Macaca mulatta: one gene and its partners. The protein of the gene in region 2 purifies or fractionates together with the protein of the main gene of each other region. This does not show direct contact. Links are inferred from orthologs where the notes say so. Each region holds a gene or a part of one and is shown on either strand. Other genes may lie near its edges. The genes, in order: NLRP3, NEK7, ANKS3 and ANKS6.

Region 1 (4,554 bases), about 54 Mb from region 2:
TGGGAAGACCTTTCCTGCTCTATTTTGTCTTGAATGCTGATCTGGCTGGTATATATATTAATAATATGAATGAATGAAGACGTATACAATTTGCTTGTTGTATTTGTAGATATTATTGACAGAATCAAGATTTGAAACTGCTTAGTCAATGGGTCAAAAGACAGGTAAGATGAGGTTTAGCAAAGCTAAATTGAAGGTCCCACCCTTAGGCTGAGAGCCAGAGGAAGAAGCCCCGTAGAGAGCCCATTAGCAACATCTCCTAAGGCGATGCACTGGGAATTAAGGCAGTGGCTGGGGGGGTCACAGACGTTTGTCTACACTGAGTTCCACTACCTTCTCTCTGAGTGTCCTTGGACAAAGTTACGAGGCTCCCTGAGTTGTATTTTCTCCTCTTTAAACTGGAGACACAGATACCCACCTTACAGCATCTTTCTGACGCCAACTGAGAAAATCCATGTAAGAACAGGAAAGAGCAGGTGATACGGGAAAGTGGTATAGGGAAAGTGGTACAGGGAAAGTGCATGATTATTAGTGGGTATTCTCTACTACTGTTTACTGCAGAATTCCAACATGAACCAAAAGGTTTATGTAACTGCCAAAAACCATAAGGAAATCAGAGGCTCCACCAGTGAAACCATAGTTCTCTGCAACAGGAGCTAAAACATCCACCACACGTCATCAGGTCTGGGCACCAAATTGCAAAGAGAGACACTAACAAACCAGCCTGTGTACCTGGGAGAGCATGGCTACACAGGTGAAGGTGCTGAGCCCTGACACTGTTGAGGATAAAGAGGCTGCAGGGTAAAAGCTCTCTCCTAGTGCAGAGGCTGCAGGGTAAAATCCCTCTCCTACTGTAGAGGCTGCAGGGTAAGAGCTCTTTCCTGGTGTAGAGGCTGCACGCACTGGACGATAACTTGCATGCATGCACACATAAAATGGGTGACTATTCATGTGAGTGCCTTGGAAACAATTTTTTTCCTCAATGGGCAATTGGGCTGCACAATCTCTAAGGTTTTTTCCAACACTAAGAAACTCTAATGCTATAATCATAAATTAGCATAAATTATCTCATTAGCAGTAGTATACATTATATACATCCAGTCCTTCAAACCATTTCTGATGTTTTTACCTCCTTACTCTACCTTCAACTCTGCCTGACCAGAGTAACCCCCATCCACATTTTCCACATAATTCACCTCTGAAAAGAAGTTACTTTTCTGCTGAGACACCCATGAAGACTTACCCCAGTTTCTGCAGGTTACATTGTGGATTCTTGGCTTTTTCACATAAAATTGCGACTCCTGCGTCTCCCAGGGCATTCTCCCCCACGTAGAGTCTGGTCAGGGAACGGCTGGTGCTCAATACTGACGCAAGATCCTGACAACACGCTGATGTGAGGCAGCAGCTGACCAGCCTTCCACAAAGACGGCAGAATGTCAGTCATGTCTCTCACCCACGCTCCACCATGAACAAGGAGGCACCCGTACCTGCCACTGCCTCTACTCCAGTTTACACATGGAAAGGGAGTGGACACAAGCTCTACGTACACTTCTGATTTCCTCTTCCATCTGGCGGAATAACAAGCTCGCACCAATACTACATCTTCCCAGCTCCCTACATTCAGCTTTATTGTGGTGAAATACGTGTAAAATGAAATTTACCATCTTAACCATTTTTAAGTGCACGATTAACGGCCTTAAGCACATTCACATTGTTGTGCAACCATCTTCACCACCGTCTCCAGAACTCCTTTCATCTTGCCGAACTGAAACTCCATAACCATTAAACAATGTCTTCCCGTTCCCCACTCTCCCATTGCCTGCAACCACCTTTCTTTCTGTCTCTATGAATCTGACTATTCTAGGCACCTCTTATCAGGACAATCACAGAGTATTTGCCCTTTCAAGCCTAGCTTATCTTACTTAGCATAATGTCCCTGAGGCTCATCCATGTTGTAGTGTGTACTAGAATTCCTTTTAAAGCTGAATGTACATATATAGCACTTTTCAACACCCTTTATCCGTTGAAGGACGTTTGGGTTATTTCTACCTTTTGGCTAGTGCTAATAGTGTTGCTATGGACATGGGTGTACAAATAACATGTTTGAGTTCCTGCCTTCTTTTTTTTTTTAACTCTTCCTCGGTTACCCAGGTGGGAATGCAGTGGCATGATCTTGACTCACTGCAACCTCCGCCTCCCAGGTTCAAACGATTCTCTTGCCTCCACCCGGAGTAGCTGGGATTACAAGCACGTGCCACCACGCCTGGCTAATTTTTGTATTTTTAGTAGAGACAAGGTTTTACTATGATGGCCAGGCTAGTCTCAAACTCCTGACCTCAAGTGATCCACCTGCCTCGGCCTCCCAAAATGCTGGGATTACAGGTGTGAGCCACTGTGCCTGGCTGAGTTACTGCTTTGAACTCTTTTGCAGATATACCCAGGAGTGGAAATGCTGGCTTCAATAGTAATTCTATATTGTTTTAGGAATTGCAGTGCTGTTTTCCACACTGGCTGCATCATTTACTTTCCCACCAGCAATACACAATGGCTTCCATTTCTCCGTATCCATGCCAATACTTGTTTTCTAGTTTTCTTGCTTTTGTTTAATAATAGCCATCCTAATGGGTGAGAATTGGCCCTTCCATTTTTAAGTGTTTTTTTCTCTCCTTCAAAATGCAAGTCTCCCAGAAGCATTCAGGGAAGGGCTGCATACAACATCGAGTGTCTGCACTGCTTTAGCACCATTTTTCTTATACAACATGAGGACCCAGGGCTTGTCATGAAATTCTAAAACTCCTCTAAAGCAATGCATTACACTGGTTTTCTTCTTTTTCTCAGCTAAGGCAGTGGGCACCCTACAGGCAGTCATCTTCTTTTTTTATTACTTATGCCCCTTGTCAGGGTTGAGTGTGTGACATTCCCCACAGCAAACACTAACTAACCGAAATGCCACAGACACCCAGAGACAAGCACACACAGCCACCTGAGCCGCCGAGGCCACTGTCACTCAAACTCCAGCCCCCCAGGCCTCACTGAAGCCAGAGTGCGAAACATGCCTTGTTGGCAGGGCTTCCTTTGGGGAACGGGCTCAACTCACCAGAGCTTCTTCAGATTGCACAACAGGTGCTTCAGTCCCACACACAGAAGTCTGATCCCGAAGTCCCCAAGGGCGTTGTCGCTCAGGTCCAGCTCCACCAGCTTCTGGTTGCTGCTGAGGACCAAGGAGATGTCGAAGCAGCACTCATGCGAGAGGCCGCAGCGCCCCAACCTTCATGCCAAGAACAGAGGCAGAAAGCGTCAGAACACATCTGACCAGAGAACTCCGGAATACAGCACAAGGTCAGCCCTCAGGCTCCCCAGTCACAGCAGAGGGAGCACCCGTCAGTGAATTCCCGGCCATAAACAGTGCCGGGTGCATTGCAGTCACCCCCCAGACAAGTGAATGGTGAGCTCCTGGCTTGTAAGTGAAACGGGTGGTGTGGGCCTGTGCACTCCACCTCCTTCCCTTGTGTTCCTAACTGTTGATGTGCCCGCAGTCGGCTCTGCCCTCGCCAGCGCTGCACTCAGCTATTTCTTGTCTTTACCAACATTGTCACCCCATTGTGCTTGATGATTTCATCCCAGCCATCCATCTATATTGAAAGGAAAAGCAGCTCTGATTCTTTTTCTCTTTCTTTTTCTTTTCTTTTTTTTTAGAGACAGGGTCTCACTTTGTTGCACAGGCTGGAGTGCAATGGTGAGATCATAGCTCACTGCCACCTAGAACTCCTGTGCTCAAGGAGATCCACCTGCCTCAGCCTCCCAAGTGGCTGCAAATACCAGCATGTGCTACCATGCTTAGCTATTTTATTTATTTATTTATTTATTTATTTATTATTTTGTAAAGACAAGGTCTGACCAGCTTGCTCAGGCTGGTTTTGAACTCCTGGGCTTATGATCTGCCCACCTCAGCCTCTCAAAGTGCTGGGGTTCCGCACCCCGCTGCAGCTCTGATTCTTTATTGGTTTCACCGTTACACACATGCACACACACACACGCACATCACTACCACCGTCACCACCACCACCAGCAACAAAAATGTATCCCTGTCGTGGGGGCGAGAACGACATTCTAGTTTCTTTCCAGGGCAATAGTTCATAGGTCCTGGAGCCTGTTAGACCACCTTCCTTTCTGTCCCTATCCTTACACCAACTTCAAGCAAATGGACAAATGGATCTCTACTTATCTGCAGAACATCTCATTGTCACCTACCCTTTCCTGTTTGTGTCTCCCTCTCCAGAATCACACAGGGGCAATGGCAGTGGGGAGAGAACTTGGGGATGAAGTTGGAGAAATAAGGTTAAGTGTCCCAAAGAGCCAGTCTCCATGGTACGACAATTTGAAATTTATCAAAAGAGCAAAGATCAAGAGAGTGTGATCTATATACACAATGGAATACTGCTCAGCCATAGAAAAGAAGGAAGTCACATCTTTGAAGCCACATGGATGAAACTGGAGGCCATTATCTTAAGTGAAATACCTCAGAAACAGAGTCAAATACCACATGTTCTCACT
Region 2 (4,554 bases):
GGATGGTCTCGATCTGCTGACCTCGTGATCCGCCAGCCTTGGCCTCCCTAAGTGCTGGGATTACAGGTGTGAGCCACTATGCGCAGCCTGTATATCATTTTATATACTGCTATTTTCACTATGTAAAAGCACATGCATTTGTACAAGAAATAAAAGGGACTGAGCCAAAGCTAAAATTCTTTAAGGCATTGAGTTTATGGATTTTATTTTTGCTTTATAATCTTATCTAATATCTTCATGGTTTTTTTTAAATTAAGAAAAATTAGAACTTTGTGTATCTTTGGATAGTAAGAATGATATCTAGAAAAAGTTGCCTCTCATAAGCTGTAATTATACACCCTTATTCCATATTTACCTTTATGCATTAGATATCTTTTGTTTCTGTCTGGTAGAACCCTGTAATTCTTTCAAGCTTCACCTCTAATGCTGCCCCCTCCCTACATGGGAGGAATTTCTTCCTTAGGTCTCTAATGCTACATTTTGTACACACATGTATTTTAATACTTCTTAGCTAGTTGTGTATGCATTACACTTCATGACAGCCTGGCTCATTGAGAAAACACTGACTGTGGAGCTAGAACAACCTGGCTTCAAGATTCTGTCATTTACTAGTTTTATGATCATAAGCATATTATTTAATATTTTTGAGCCTCAATCCTCATTTTGTTATTGTGGCCAGTACTACCTATCTTATAAGATTGCAATGAATTTCAAAGCATCATGTGTAAAGAGGCCAGCCCTCTCTGCTGGTGTCTAATAACTACTTCTCTAATTAAAAAGACTTGGATTCTGCCACTCCTTTGACATCGTACCTTTTCTTGGAATGTTAGCTGGCTGAATCAGGAAGACTTGATCAAGCTGATTACTAAAAATGTCATTTTTTAAAATTTGTTATGTCACTAGAGTTTTAATCACCTTGCAGTACTGACTTAGATTTTTTTTTTCCAGTCTCTAAGATATTGCTTTTTTAAATGTTATTTTCCACACACTTAGAACCTTGAGAGATTTGTGTTTTCAGAGACACATGAAATACCTTTTTGATTGTATTTTTTATTTTTATGTTTTTAATGGTAGGTTAATATTTTTCAACCCTTACTTCATTATCTTCCCTTCAAACTGCTTTTTTAGGCATTTCTTCCCAATTACCTCTACCCATGAAATTTTAATTCCACAAATACATCTGTTTATGTGCAATACTGTATGTGTATCTACACTTTATACTTAATAGAGTAAAATTTTGTTACCCTTCTCCTCAAAGAACCAAATTTCACCCCCTTGAAATGATAGCACCCTTGTCAAAAATGCATACATCAGACCTTTTAGACATGATTTGATGGAACAGATTAATAGTTCACTGCTTGGGTTCTAGACGGATAATTCTAAGAATGAATTCTGCTTGCTCTGTTGATTAGCTATGTGACCTTTTGTCAGTCTCCTTAGCTTTCTAAAGCTTCTCTTCTTCATCTGTAAAATGGGAATACTACTATTATCATCCTCATAAGGTTGTGCAGTACATTTAGCATATATTAATTGCTCAACATGTATTAGCTATTACTTTATCATCTTAATAATCACAACTTTAATTTTGTTCTTTGGAACTTAAGACCTTAGTGTCAAGGGATATCTAACTGTTCTCTTTATCCATTTTTTAAATACTGACTGCTGAAAATGTAAGTGTTGTTGGTAACGTAAGATACCTGCAGACCTCTATAATAAATAAAAGCTAATCGGAAAGAAAATTCCTTAGTGTACATATAATTACATGTAGAGTATTAAAATGAATTTACATGATAGCTTGAACCACAGGTTATTATTTCATTAAATAATTCTGGGTTCTATTTTTAGATATTTGATTTAATGGATGCCAAAGCACGTGCTGATTGCATCAAAGAAATAGATCTTCTTAAGGTAATTAATGAACTATTGACTCTTTTGAACATAACATTGTGATAAAAGTGATTTACTAAAATATCACACGTAAACACAAAAAGGTTTTTAAGACTTACACTACACTGATTTTCAAGTAATATTATGTAAGGTTGAATTTCAGTATATTGAAGAATATAGTTATTTTTTGGATTTATTGTTAAATAATATAATCAGAACATTTGGTAGGACCAGCTTTTTTTTTCTCATTTCAAACTAGGAAATAGATAAAACGGGCATAAAACATTGAAAAAATTTTTTTCTTGACCACCCCAACAAGATATATTCTAAAGGTTAAGTAATATAAATGCAAATTAGTATTATCTCAACATGTATTATATTGAAATGGTTCACATGCATTTTCTAATGTTTCAAAACCTTTTTCCAGACTTAGACAGAGTGCATCTAAAGAGTATGCCAGGAATTAGCTTTTTAGTTTCTCATCTACTAAAAATATGACTGAGACCTCAATTATTTCTGCACTGATTCGTTTATAGTGAAGTTTCTTTTGAGAAATGCTGTGGCTTATGTTGTATTTTTAACTTTTAGTTAAGATTTGGGTGTTTTTTTATGCCATCCATTTGTGTTAGTGCCTAAAATGAACCAGATTTATGCAAAAAGGAAAAAAGTAAGGTCAAAGCAATGTTTTCTGACTATTTTGTTAGTTGTAGTTATTTCTTGGCACATGAAGTAGCTGGCTTAAATATATGTGAACTTTTACTGTAGAAATAGCACGTCATCATAGAAAATTTGCGGAGAAAACTTTAAGTAGAAAGAAGAAAGTCACCCATACTTTCTGCATAATTTCTCAGAGAAACAATGCATCTCATATTAATGTGTTTAAAGATTGAACAAAAGGACTGTAAATGAGTAGGGACTGATACATGTATTTCTACAAGGTAAAATTTTTCTTAGGGATGATTTTATGAATTGGCTCACATAAATAAGTCCTGTATATTATTTGATATAAAAGCAATAGTTAGATATAGTATAGTAGATACCAGCTGTGTTTTGTCTGCTAGCTGGAGTTATTCTAGGACCAGCCATAACTTCTAAATAGGAGTAAAAAGGGCTACTTTATCATTGAGTGTTCCTAAATGAAAGTTCTCATTTTGAGGGTGTAATTTTTAGCAGTTGGTGACCTAATTCTGTCATTTACTTCTTGCATCTGTTGATATACTTATTGGGCTTAGCAGTACTTTTAAATTAAGATTTAAATGTAAAATATATTATTTCTAATAATATTAAGGTGAAATTATACCTTTTACTTTTAATAATTGTAGTATTTGTTTCAAAATTCATTAAAGAAAAATATACTGTCATGTTAAGATTTCTATAATTTAAAAAATACAGTTAAGTTTGTTCTTAAGTTACAAAACTGTAAGTGACTCTTAGAAATTTACAGTAAGAAAACTTTCTGATGCCTGTTTTATTTTCTCAGCAACTCAACCATCCAAATGTAATAAAATATTATGCATCATTCATTGAAGATAATGAACTAAACATAGTTTTGGAACTAGCAGATGCTGGTGACCTATCCAGAATGATCAAGGTAAGTTTTTAAAAAATCGTCTTAATATTTTGTTTTGTTTTTTCTAATAGAATTGTCTGTTAAACATATAGGGATATTAGATATTTTAAACTAAAGACCTCAATGCAAGACTTATCTGGTAGATATGTAATAAATAGTAGATGATTAGTGATCATAATTCTGAAACTGGTTTACTTGGTGATGTTTCCACTGGTCAGCTTAAATATCTAAAACCAAAACCAACTTGGAAAGGGACCAAGATACTTGTCTTCTATAAGTCAAGTTTTGCTGTTTGATTCTCTGAGCAGACCATGCTTGCTCCTGTGTCTCTGGACATGAGTAAAAGGAGGTAGAAAGAGACTCTAGAGCAGCCTGACCTATTTCTGGGGGGGATCCATCAAAGAAAGTGGGATTTGCAGTCAGACCTTGGATATCAACCCCACATAAAAATTGTTTTACCTTCTTTTCTAAGGGCATATTAATTGGGTTTAAGTTCAGCTGCAATTAATAGAAACCCTTAAATAATAGTAGCTTAAAAACTGTTTGTCCTTGGGCCAGTTACTCCTCTGCGTCACATTTTCTAAAAAACAAAGTAATAATATGACCTACTTTATAGGATTGTTGTAATTATTGAATTAATTAACATTTATTAAGAGCTTAGAAGAATGCCTCACACATTGTAAGGCTATGTAAATGTATCTGCTGCTGCTATTATTATTATTGTTATTTTTATTACTTCTCTGTCACGTAAAAGTCTGGGGCTAGTATGGTAGCTCTGTTCTATCAAGAGTATTTTAGAGACCTAGCCTATTTCTAGCTTATCAAGTCACACTAGGCTTGAAGGGACAAAGAGTACATGCTGGCTTTATCTTAAAGCACATTCCTGAGTGCTGCCTGTCACACAACATTTTCAGCTTCATTCCCTTGGCCAGAATGTAGTCTCATGAACCTATCTAGCTGCAAGGAAGGCTGGAAAAGAAAGTCTTCATTCAGCTGGCCGTGTGCCCAGCTAAACTTCTGTTACTATGGAACACAACTTGAACCATCTAGAAACAAACAAGAATAACTGAATGAGAAAAACAAAAGCTATTTATTCG
Region 3 (4,554 bases), on a different chromosome or scaffold from region 2:
GAGTGCAGTGGCCGGATCTCAGCTCACTGCAAGCTCCGCCTCCCGGGTTTACGCCATTCTCCTGCCTCAGCCTCCCGAGTAGCTGGGACTACAGACGCCCGCCACCTCACCCGGCTAGTTTTTTGTATTTTTTAGTAGAGACGGGGTTTCACCATGTTAGCCAGGATGGTCTCGATCTCCCGACCTCATGATCCGCCCGTCTTGGCCTCCCAAAGTGCTGGGATTACAGGCTTGAGCCACTGCGCCCGGCTGATTTTCTTTCTTTAGGATAAATAACCAGTAGTGGAATTGCTGGATCTCATTTCTTATATTTTAAAAAATTTCTTATATTAAAAAAAATAGAGACAGTGTCTCACTATGTTGCCCAGGCTGGTCTCAAACTCCTGGGCCCAAGTGATCCTCCCGCCTCAGCCTCCCACAGTGCTGAGATTATAGGCGTGAGCCACTGCGCCCGGCCTCACTTCTTATTTTGAATATTTGTGTTTGCTCCTTTTTTCCTTTTAAAGTTAAATACTAGTACTTTGTTTAGTGGAAAAACAAGAAAACCCCATCGGATTTTGATTGATTATTGAGACCTACTGATGGTTTAATTTCTGCTTTTATTTTTCTTTGGCTTACTTTGTTGTTCTAGTTTTTTGAGTTGGAAATTTCTTTCATGTTCATTGTTTCCCTTTTGTTGCTAAATGTTAGAGGCTGTGAATTTTTGCTGATTGCTGCTTTAAGTGTATTCTGGGGGTTCTGTATTTAATACTTTCCTTATTATTTTTCAGAAATTCTATAATTTTTATTTATATTTTCTCCTTCACCCATGAGTTGTCTAATAGAAGTCTTGTGGTTGTTTTTGTTTGTTAATTTCTTGGTAGAAGGGCCTTTTTGATCTTGTGATTAATTTCTCATGTTATTCTGATCACCTTTATTCTAGTGTGTCTGATCAGGTAGTGTTTATAATTCTTACCTTGACAGAACTTCTTTGTCATCTTATTTATCACCTGCTGATCAATAGATATATATTTTTTCAGATGTAGTCTCACTCTGTCACCCAGGCTTGAGTGCCCAGGCGCAATTTCGGCTCACCACCACCTCTACCTCCCAGGTTCAAGCGACTCTCCTGCCTCAGTCTCCCGAGTAGTTGGGATTACAGGCGTCTGCCACCACGCCTGGCTGATTTTTTTTTTTTTTGTATTTTTAGTAGGACAGCGTTTCACCATGTTGGCCAGGTTGGTCTCGAAGTCCTGACCTCAAGTGATCCGCCCACCTCAGCCTCCCAAAGTGCTGGGATTACAGGCGTGAGCCACCGCGCCCAGCCCTGATCAATATTTTTTAATGTTCTGTGTTTTGCTTGAGAAGAAGTTGTATTCTCTATTTTCTGTGTATACAATTTAGCGTATCTGTGAGTATCTTATTTAGGATTATGTACTTTTAGTTCATTTTCTACAAAATTACCTATTAGTGATTTATGAAGGAAGTTGGTGCATTTTTGGTGACAGATTTTCTTAACTTGTTATAGATTCACTGTGAATTACGGCTTTCAGTATTAGAAATGTCCTTCTAGCCGGGCATGGCTCATGCCTGTAATCCCAGCACTTTGGGAGGCCAAGACGGGCAGATCACCTGAGGTCAGGAGTTCGAGACCAGCCCAGCCCACATGGTGAAACCGTGTGTCTACTCGAAATGCAAAAATTAGCCAGGCATGGTGGCACACACCTGTAATGCCAGCTACTTGGGAGACTGAGGCAGGAGAATCATTTGAACCCGGGAGGCGGTTACAATGAGCCGAGATTGTGCCACTGCACTCCAGCCTGGGTATAGAGGGAAACTCTGTCTCAAAAAAAAAAAAAAAAAAAAGTCCTTCTGTGTCATATTTAATGTATTTTGCCCTGATTTCCACTTTGATAGGAGGATTGCAGCTCTGGCTTTTTTGTGGTTTCCATCTGCCTGTAATTCTTAAGCCGCTCTGAGGGTGTGTTGGGTGCTGAGATTCACGCAGCTGCCGTTCCCTTGCTTATTGCCACCTTTGTGCATTTGTCTTACAGCTCCCTCCCCTTTAGCTTGGATGGAAGCACAGTCTCCCTGGGGTGCTGTAGATCTTTGAGTGTGAGGGGGTGTGTGTCCACATAGCTAGCTCAGTCGCCAGGGCGTGAGCCTCTTCATGGGGAAGGACAGAGTGGCCCATGTTCAGGGCCTGAGCTCTCCTTCTTTGCTGGCCTGCCCTGAATTATCCTGTCAGTTTGCACCTGAGTGAGCAGCTCCTTTCTCAGGGTCAGGCTCAGCCCAGCTCCTTCCCTGGTGTTGGGATTGTTTCATAGTAAACACAGCTCAGGTGGTAAAATGGTAACGCAGGGGACCTCTGCCTTCATTTCCGTCTCAGCTTACCAGCTCCACAAGGAGATCTCATGATTTCCTCCTGCATCCAACTCACGTATCTCGTAAAAGTAGAATCGGATCAGAGCCTTATATAAGTCAAATATGAAAAACTGAAAAGCTACAAAATAGTAAAAGCCCTGGGTTGAGCTCTGAAAGCTCAGAAAGCTCAGACTGGGCAGTGATTTGAAACACTTTATAATCATAGCAAACACATGCCATGCTTTAGAAAATACAGAATTGCGGCCGGGCACAGTAGCTCATGCCTGTGATCCCAGCACTTGGGGAAGCCAACGCGGGTGGATCACAAGGTCAGGAGATCAAGACCAGCCTGGCTAACATGGTGAAACTCCATCTTTACTAAAAATACAAAAACAAAACTAGCCGGGCATGGTGTCGGGCGCCTGTAGTCGCAGCTACTCAGGAGCCTGAGGCAGGAGAATGGTGTGAACCCGGGAGGTGGAGCTTGTAGTGAGCCTTGATCGTGCCATTGCACTCCAGCCTGGGCGATGGAGCGAGACTTCATCTCAAAAAAATAAAGAAAAAAAGAAAAAACAGAATTCCTTAATAAGTTGTTTGCAGCCAGGCACAGTGGTTTACGCCTGTAATCACTTTGGGAGGCTGAGGTGGGTGGATCACCTGAGGTCAGGAGTTCGAGACCAGCCTGACTAATATGATAAAACCCCATCTCTACTAAAGTACAAAAATTAGCTGGGTATGGTGGTGCATGGCTGTAATCCCAGCTACGCGGGAGGCTGAGACAGGAGAATCACTTGAACCCAGGAGGCAGAAGTTCTAGCCTGGGCAACAAGAGCAAAACTCCATCTCAAAAAAAAAAAAAAAGTTGCTTCCAAAGGAAGGGATCAGGAAAAAGAAGTTGTGACTGATATTACCATATATTTTAATGAAGAGATGAATTTTATTTATTCAAATTAGAACAAAATTTCTGATTATGAACAATACAGGCTTATGAACAATTTTACAAACCTCGACAGAGATAAGAATGAAACTCCTGGCCAGGCGCGGTGGCTCACGCCTGTAATCCCAGCACTTTGGGAGGCCGAGGCAGGCAGATCACCTGAGGTCAGGAGTTGGAGACCAGCCTGGCCAACATGGCAAAAGCCTGTCTCTGCTTAAAGAAAAAGAAAAAGCTGGGCATGGTGTCACGCACCTGTAATCCCAGCTACTTGGGAGGGTGAGACATGAGAATCGCTTGAACCCAGGAGGCGGAGGTTGCAGTGAGTGAGCCAGGATCATGCCATTACACTTCAGCTCGGGGGACAGAGACTGTGTCTCAAGAAAAATGAAACTTCCGATCCTCACTAACTTTGCAGCTCCCTGTGGCCCATTGGAGCAGCGCCCCGGCCTGTTAGGGCATTTCTCAAAAGTGATGCCCCGGCAGATACCCTTCTCCTTAATTTAACAAAACTGGCGACAGTTACTTTCTTTCAGTTTGCCATAAGGATTAGTAAATGAGTCCATCACTGAACAGACTATCTTAATCCTGGTGTTTGACCACAGAAAAGTACGAAGATCTGAGCTCCTCTGACGAGTCCTGCCCTGCTCCTCAGAGACAGAGGCCGTGCCGGAAGAAGGGTGTCAGCATCCACGAGGGACCGCGAGCCCTGGCCAGGATCACAGGCATTGGCCTGGGCGGCAGAGCCCCACGGCCTCGCTATGGTGAGTGGCCCGCGTTTCCCGAGGGCTCTTTCTCTCTGCATACCAAGATTCTGTGTTGGCCAGGATGGACTAGCTCTTAGGCTCCTGAAACATGGGTCGCTGGACCTTAGGTGGCAGCGGGACAGGTGGCCCAGCTTTCATGCTCAGGGAGACTCAGGATTGAGTCCACTGATGGAAATGCACTGGTCACGGACTAGCTCTTCTTTTTTGCTTAATCTCCTTGAGTTTCCTTTTCATTGGCTAAATTTAGGAATAGAACTTTCTCTCCTGCAGCAGAAATGTAGCCCGCTCAGATTTCATTCATCACATAGGTGAAACCCTGTCTCTACAAACATGTAGCTGGGCATGGTGGCAGGCGTCTATAATCCCAGCTACTCAGGAGGCTGAGGCAAGGGAATCGCTTGAACCCAGGAGGTGGAGGTTGCAGTGAGTCAAGATCACACCACTGCACTCCAACCTGGCAACAGTGCAAGACTGTCTAAAAAAAAAAAAAACCGGCCGGGCGCGGTGGCT
Region 4 (4,554 bases), on a different chromosome or scaffold from region 2:
AGATCATGAGGTCAGGAGTTCGAGACCAACCTGCCCTAGATGGTGAAACCCCGTCTCTACTAAAAATGCAAAAATTAGCCAGGTGTGGTGGCGGGTGCCTGTAATCCCAGCTACTCTGGAAGCTGAGGCAGGAGAATCGCTTGAACCCGGGAGGTGGAGATTGCAGTGAGCCGAGATCTTGCCACTGCCCTCTAACCTGGGAGACAGGGCAAGACTCTGTCTCAAAAAAAAAAAAAAAAAAAAAAAGGAATTCTGGGGTTCTGGCCTGGAGCGGTGGCTCACGCCTGCAATCCCAACAGTTTGGGAGGCCAAGGCGGGCAGATCACTCAAGGTCAGGAGTTAAAGACCAGCCTGGCCAACATGGCGAAACACTGTCTCTTACAAACATTAGCCAGGTGTGGTGGCATGTGCCTGTAATCCCAGCTACTCGGGAGGCTGAGGCACAAGAATCACTTGAACCCAGGAGGCAGAGGTTGCAGTGAGCCGAGATCACACCACTGCACTCCAGCCTGGGCAACAGAGTGAGACTCCATCTCATAAAAAGAATTCTGGGGTCCACCTTGCTGGTTGCTAGTAAAGAAATAATTGTTCTTTGAATGGGGCTTTAACATTATCATTTGATCCCTGCAACAGCCAGATGAAAGGGATGTTATCCCCACATTTGTGATGAAGAGGCAGCTTACTGTAAAAATGCGCACTGAAATTCTTATGCACTGACTCCACACTCAGTGCTCCTTGCCCCGGGCTGCAGCTTCCTCCCAGCTGCTCAAGAGGGCTTATCTGGACCAGAGTCAGCCCAGATTCACAAGTTCCCTCTGGCAGCTGCTCCGTCCCCTGGGATCAGTTAAAGACTGCAGAAGGCCTGCCTTCAGCCCCCTAGCAAGCAGACTGGCCATGAGGATGCCTCCTCTGACAGGAGCAGGGTACCTGCTGGCCCAGGCTTGGAGGAAGGTGTGGGATGAGCATGTGAGAGAGGGGCTAGCATCTGGCAGCTGCAGCAAGGCTCAGCTGTGCAGGTAGGCATGGGGTCTGGCCCCAACCTAGCAGCTGGGCTTCAGGGTACAGCATGAAGATGCCCAGTTGGGCAGTGGCCTTTGGGCAGCTGTGTCTGCAGGTTTGGGGCAGGGAGCATGTTCTGATTGCTTCTTACATGGGAGGGAAAGAAAACATGAGCATTGGCTCTTCTGTTGGCTGTGTCTGTGAACTTCCGTAGAGCTCAGCTGCTCGGTATGTCAGCAGCAGATTTGGAATTATGATTGTATGTTTAGTTTTTAAAAGAAAAAAAATTTTTTTAAACAATGTCCATAGGAATCCAAGATTTTCCAAGACCCCAAGACTTTTCAGTATATCTAGGAAAGGATATGCCAACATTTGTTTTGCCTAAAAATGATTGCTTTATTTGCATGAGATCAGGGCCGTGATCTGCTGCTCTTTTGTGTTTTGTTGGCAAGATCTGTCTCTGAAGTGTTTTCAGATGTTCTTTGGTAATAAACCTTCCAGAAGGGCTGCTGGATTTGTCCATTACGTAGGTCTCCAATTAGATTGCTTTTGAGAATTAGATGCTTTTTAAAGCCAGGCTGTGTTGTTACACCCTTGTGACTTTTCTGTTATATTAAACCTTTCCGTGGTTAACTTTTAAAATCTTTGTTTACCCAGATGAAGAGAAAAGGCGACCTGATATTTTCCATGCATTGAAAATGGGTAAGCGCTTTAGAAGATCTTTTTGGATATTTAAGAATACAGAACTACATTCTCCCAACCTAATATTTGTAGTCCTTTGCAGGGCCACCCAGGTTATTTGAGAAAGAAACAGGCATTTTGGTGTTTGGTGTTTGGAAGTTCAGATCCTGGAGGCCAGTATTTATTATGGAGCTCTACACATAGACTCCAGAGGGCCTCCAGCCCCACTCCAGCCGAACACTGGCTAGCTATATGCCCCAGCTCTTCCTGCCTCTGAAATGCCTGTCTGCATACCCATTCCAGTCTCTTTGTGACAAAGAGACATTTAGCCTAAAATTTTCTCTCTTGATATAGACCCTTCCTCCAGGAAGCCTTTCCCGATCCTCACCCCACAGCAAGACCTGAATTCTCCTTCTGCCTTCTTCTGTGTCCTTCATCTGTTCTCTGAAGATACTAACAATACTTCTGTCTTTTAGTAACACTTCTACCCATTCGTGTGCTTGTCTCTGTCCCGCCTAGACTGAAGCATTTGAGAGTCAGCGCTATCTCTGACCCCCTCTTAGTATCCCCTATGGTGCCCAGCAGCCCACTGCAGAGGCAGGGCCAGCAAGTGTTTGTTACGTGAACCACAGGATAAATCAGCTTATGGTCCCAGGCCCACAGATCACCCAGACTCTTGCTTGTGTTTGTAGGAAACTTCCAGCTGGTCAAAGAGATTGCCGATGAAGACCCCAGCCACGTGAACTTGGTCAATGGGGACGGGGCGACGCCCCTGATGCTAGCAGCTGTTACAGGGCAGCTGGCTCTGGTGCAGCTACTGGTGGAGAGGCACGCGGATGTTGACAAGCAGGACAGCGTGCATGGCTGGACAGCCCTCATGCAGGCGACCTACCATGGGTCAGTGCCAGCTCCACGCCCTCAGCAACAAGGCCAGACATATGTTCTGGCCTGAGATGGGGGTTTCCAGTGGGCTCTTCTGGTCCTGAGATGCTGCATACAAACCCCAGGACTGTGATGACATTGAGGCATGCAAAAAAAAAAAAAAAGAAAGAAAAAAATGAAAGCGGCACAGGTTCATTTTATTTCCACCCTTCTGTGTCCAGATTTCCTGTTCTCCCATCACAGAATTTCACCAGTGGCCATGAAAAACCATGCAGCAGAAGCATTTTATGCAGAGAGATAAGGTTCTCTAGGTTGGTTTCAGTTGAACACAATGACTGGTTCATTGGAGTTTTCACACTGAGATATAGTGACCTCCTTAAGTAGCCCCTGTATGAAGTAAACATTGGTGATTCATACCATTGTCATCTTGTGATGATTGATGGTGAGATGTGTCCTACCTCTCTCCTTTTGAATAAGCTTCAGTGTTTACAGGGTGCTTATGAACCCCTTCTTATGTGATCATCCCAGCAGGGTGGGCTGTCATCCTCCTGGAGGCCTCCTCTTTGGGGTGGGCATCTTGTAGCTGCTAAGTTATCTGATTCCCAATTAGAGGTTCTTTCCTTACCCTCTTTTAGGTGATTAGATCACTTTCCTGTGTCATCTGAAAGCAGTTTGTTTTCTTCTTCGATGAGCATTGAATTCCAAGATGAAATTTTATTTCAGACACCTTGGTCTGTAGGAGACTTACCCAATGGACATGTCCTGGTTTAGGGTGGAAGAAGTGGGGTCTCCCATGGGGTCAGTGATTTTTGGGCAGAGCCCTTGGTTTGGTCCTCTTCCCCTTCCCCTTTCCCTTTCCCTTCCCCTTCCCCTTCCCCTTCCCTTCCCCTTCCCTTCTGTTTCCGACAGTATCTCACTTTGTTGCCAGGCCGGAGTGCAGTAGCGTGATCATGGCTCATTACAGCCTTGACCTCCCAGACTCAAGCAATCCTCCTGCCTCAGTCTCTCAAGTAGCTGGGACTACAGGCTTGCACCACCACACCCAGCTGATTTTTAAACAAAATTTTTGGTAGAGACAAGGCCCCCCATGTTGCCCAGGCTGGTCTCAAACTCCTGGGCTCAAGCCATCCTCCCGCCTTTGCTTCCCAAAGTGGTGGGATTACAAGTGTGAGCCACCACATCTAGCCTCGGTTTTCATTTTGTTCCTGGAAGGAACACTTAGACTTTGATTTAAATCATGTTCCCGCTTGACCTGCCCACGTGCTAGGGAATGAGAGAATGAGACTGTTTGCCCTTCCATGCCCTTCTTAAATGCTCAGAGACTGAGCCTTGTAGTTAATGTTGTTGGTTTTGTTGCCCAGGAGCAAAGCCATACTTTTGCTTTCAGTGAATGTAACTCTAGCATTTTCTTCCCAGGAATAAGGAAATTGTCAAATATCTGCTAAACCAAGGGGCTGATGTCACTCTTCGTGCAAAAAATGGATACACAGCCTTTGACCTGGTGATGCTGCTGAATGATCCCGGTGGGTAATTTCAAGAAAAGGGTTGTAAATCTACCCAGCATTTCTCCGGCTGGGAGTCAAGACAACCACCTCCTCTGTGACTTGTATTTTATGCACTTGATTATTCGTGGGGGAAAGTCATTCTCAAGTGTCAGGAGCTTACCACATGATCCTTAGGCAAGTCCCTTCCCTCCCCAGTGGAGCACTGGACTTGGACCAGGTGGCCCTGGGGGCTTCTTCCAGCACCAACCTCCTAGGAGTCTCCAGAGAGGGAAGGAAAATAAGACATGTCTGACTTCGCAGTCCACACACACTCTAGAATGGCATCTGTGCTTCACAGCCAGAAATCCTGAGTCACTCAGGTGGAAACATAAAGGCCCCTTTGATAAGCAGAATGGGAGATAGAGCGATGGCCCCCTCAGCTTAATTGTGTAGATAGAGGCTGCAGGGTCAAGGGTCCTGTGCTGGGAATGTTGCCATTAGTTCCACC

What was found.
Region 1: the proteins of NEK7 (region 2) and NLRP3 purify together in Homo sapiens (affinity purification with western blotting; 9 studies listed by BioGRID and IntAct, with this or other methods). This does not show direct contact. The link is inferred for Macaca mulatta from reciprocal best matches to the Homo sapiens genes NEK7 and NLRP3.
Region 3: the proteins of NEK7 (region 2) and ANKS3 purify together in Homo sapiens (affinity purification with mass spectrometry; 3 studies listed by BioGRID and IntAct, with this or other methods). This does not show direct contact. The link is inferred for Macaca mulatta from reciprocal best matches to the Homo sapiens genes NEK7 and ANKS3.
Region 4: the proteins of NEK7 (region 2) and ANKS6 purify together in Homo sapiens (affinity purification with mass spectrometry; 3 studies listed by BioGRID and IntAct, with this or other methods). This does not show direct contact. The link is inferred for Macaca mulatta from reciprocal best matches to the Homo sapiens genes NEK7 and ANKS6.

The regions. Positions count from the first base shown.
Region 1 is NC_133406.1:1,600,226-1,604,779, forward strand, and holds part of NLRP3 (NACHT, LRR and PYD domains-containing protein 3), read right to left. Parts: intron 3,269-4,554; coding exon 3,098-3,268; intron 1,415-3,097; coding exon 1,244-1,414; intron 1-1,243. UniProt on the Homo sapiens protein: Sensor component of the NLRP3 inflammasome, which mediates inflammasome activation in response to defects in membrane integrity, leading to secretion of inflammatory cytokines IL1B and IL18 and pyroptosis.
Region 2 is NC_133406.1:55,876,816-55,881,369, forward strand, and holds part of NEK7 (serine/threonine-protein kinase Nek7), read left to right. Parts: intron 1-1,845; coding exon 1,846-1,908; intron 1,909-3,367; coding exon 3,368-3,478; intron 3,479-4,554. UniProt on the Homo sapiens protein: Protein kinase which plays an important role in mitotic cell cycle progression. Required for microtubule nucleation activity of the centrosome, robust mitotic spindle formation and cytokinesis.
Region 3 is NC_133425.1:5,965,906-5,970,459, reverse strand, and holds part of ANKS3 (ankyrin repeat and SAM domain-containing protein 3), read left to right. Parts: intron 1-3,882; coding exon 3,883-4,041; intron 4,042-4,554. UniProt on the Homo sapiens protein: May be involved in vasopressin signaling in the kidney.
Region 4 is NC_133420.1:59,622,297-59,626,850, forward strand, and holds part of ANKS6 (ankyrin repeat and SAM domain-containing protein 6), read left to right. Parts: intron 1-1,656; coding exon 1,657-1,701; intron 1,702-2,372; coding exon 2,373-2,577; intron 2,578-3,978; coding exon 3,979-4,085; intron 4,086-4,554.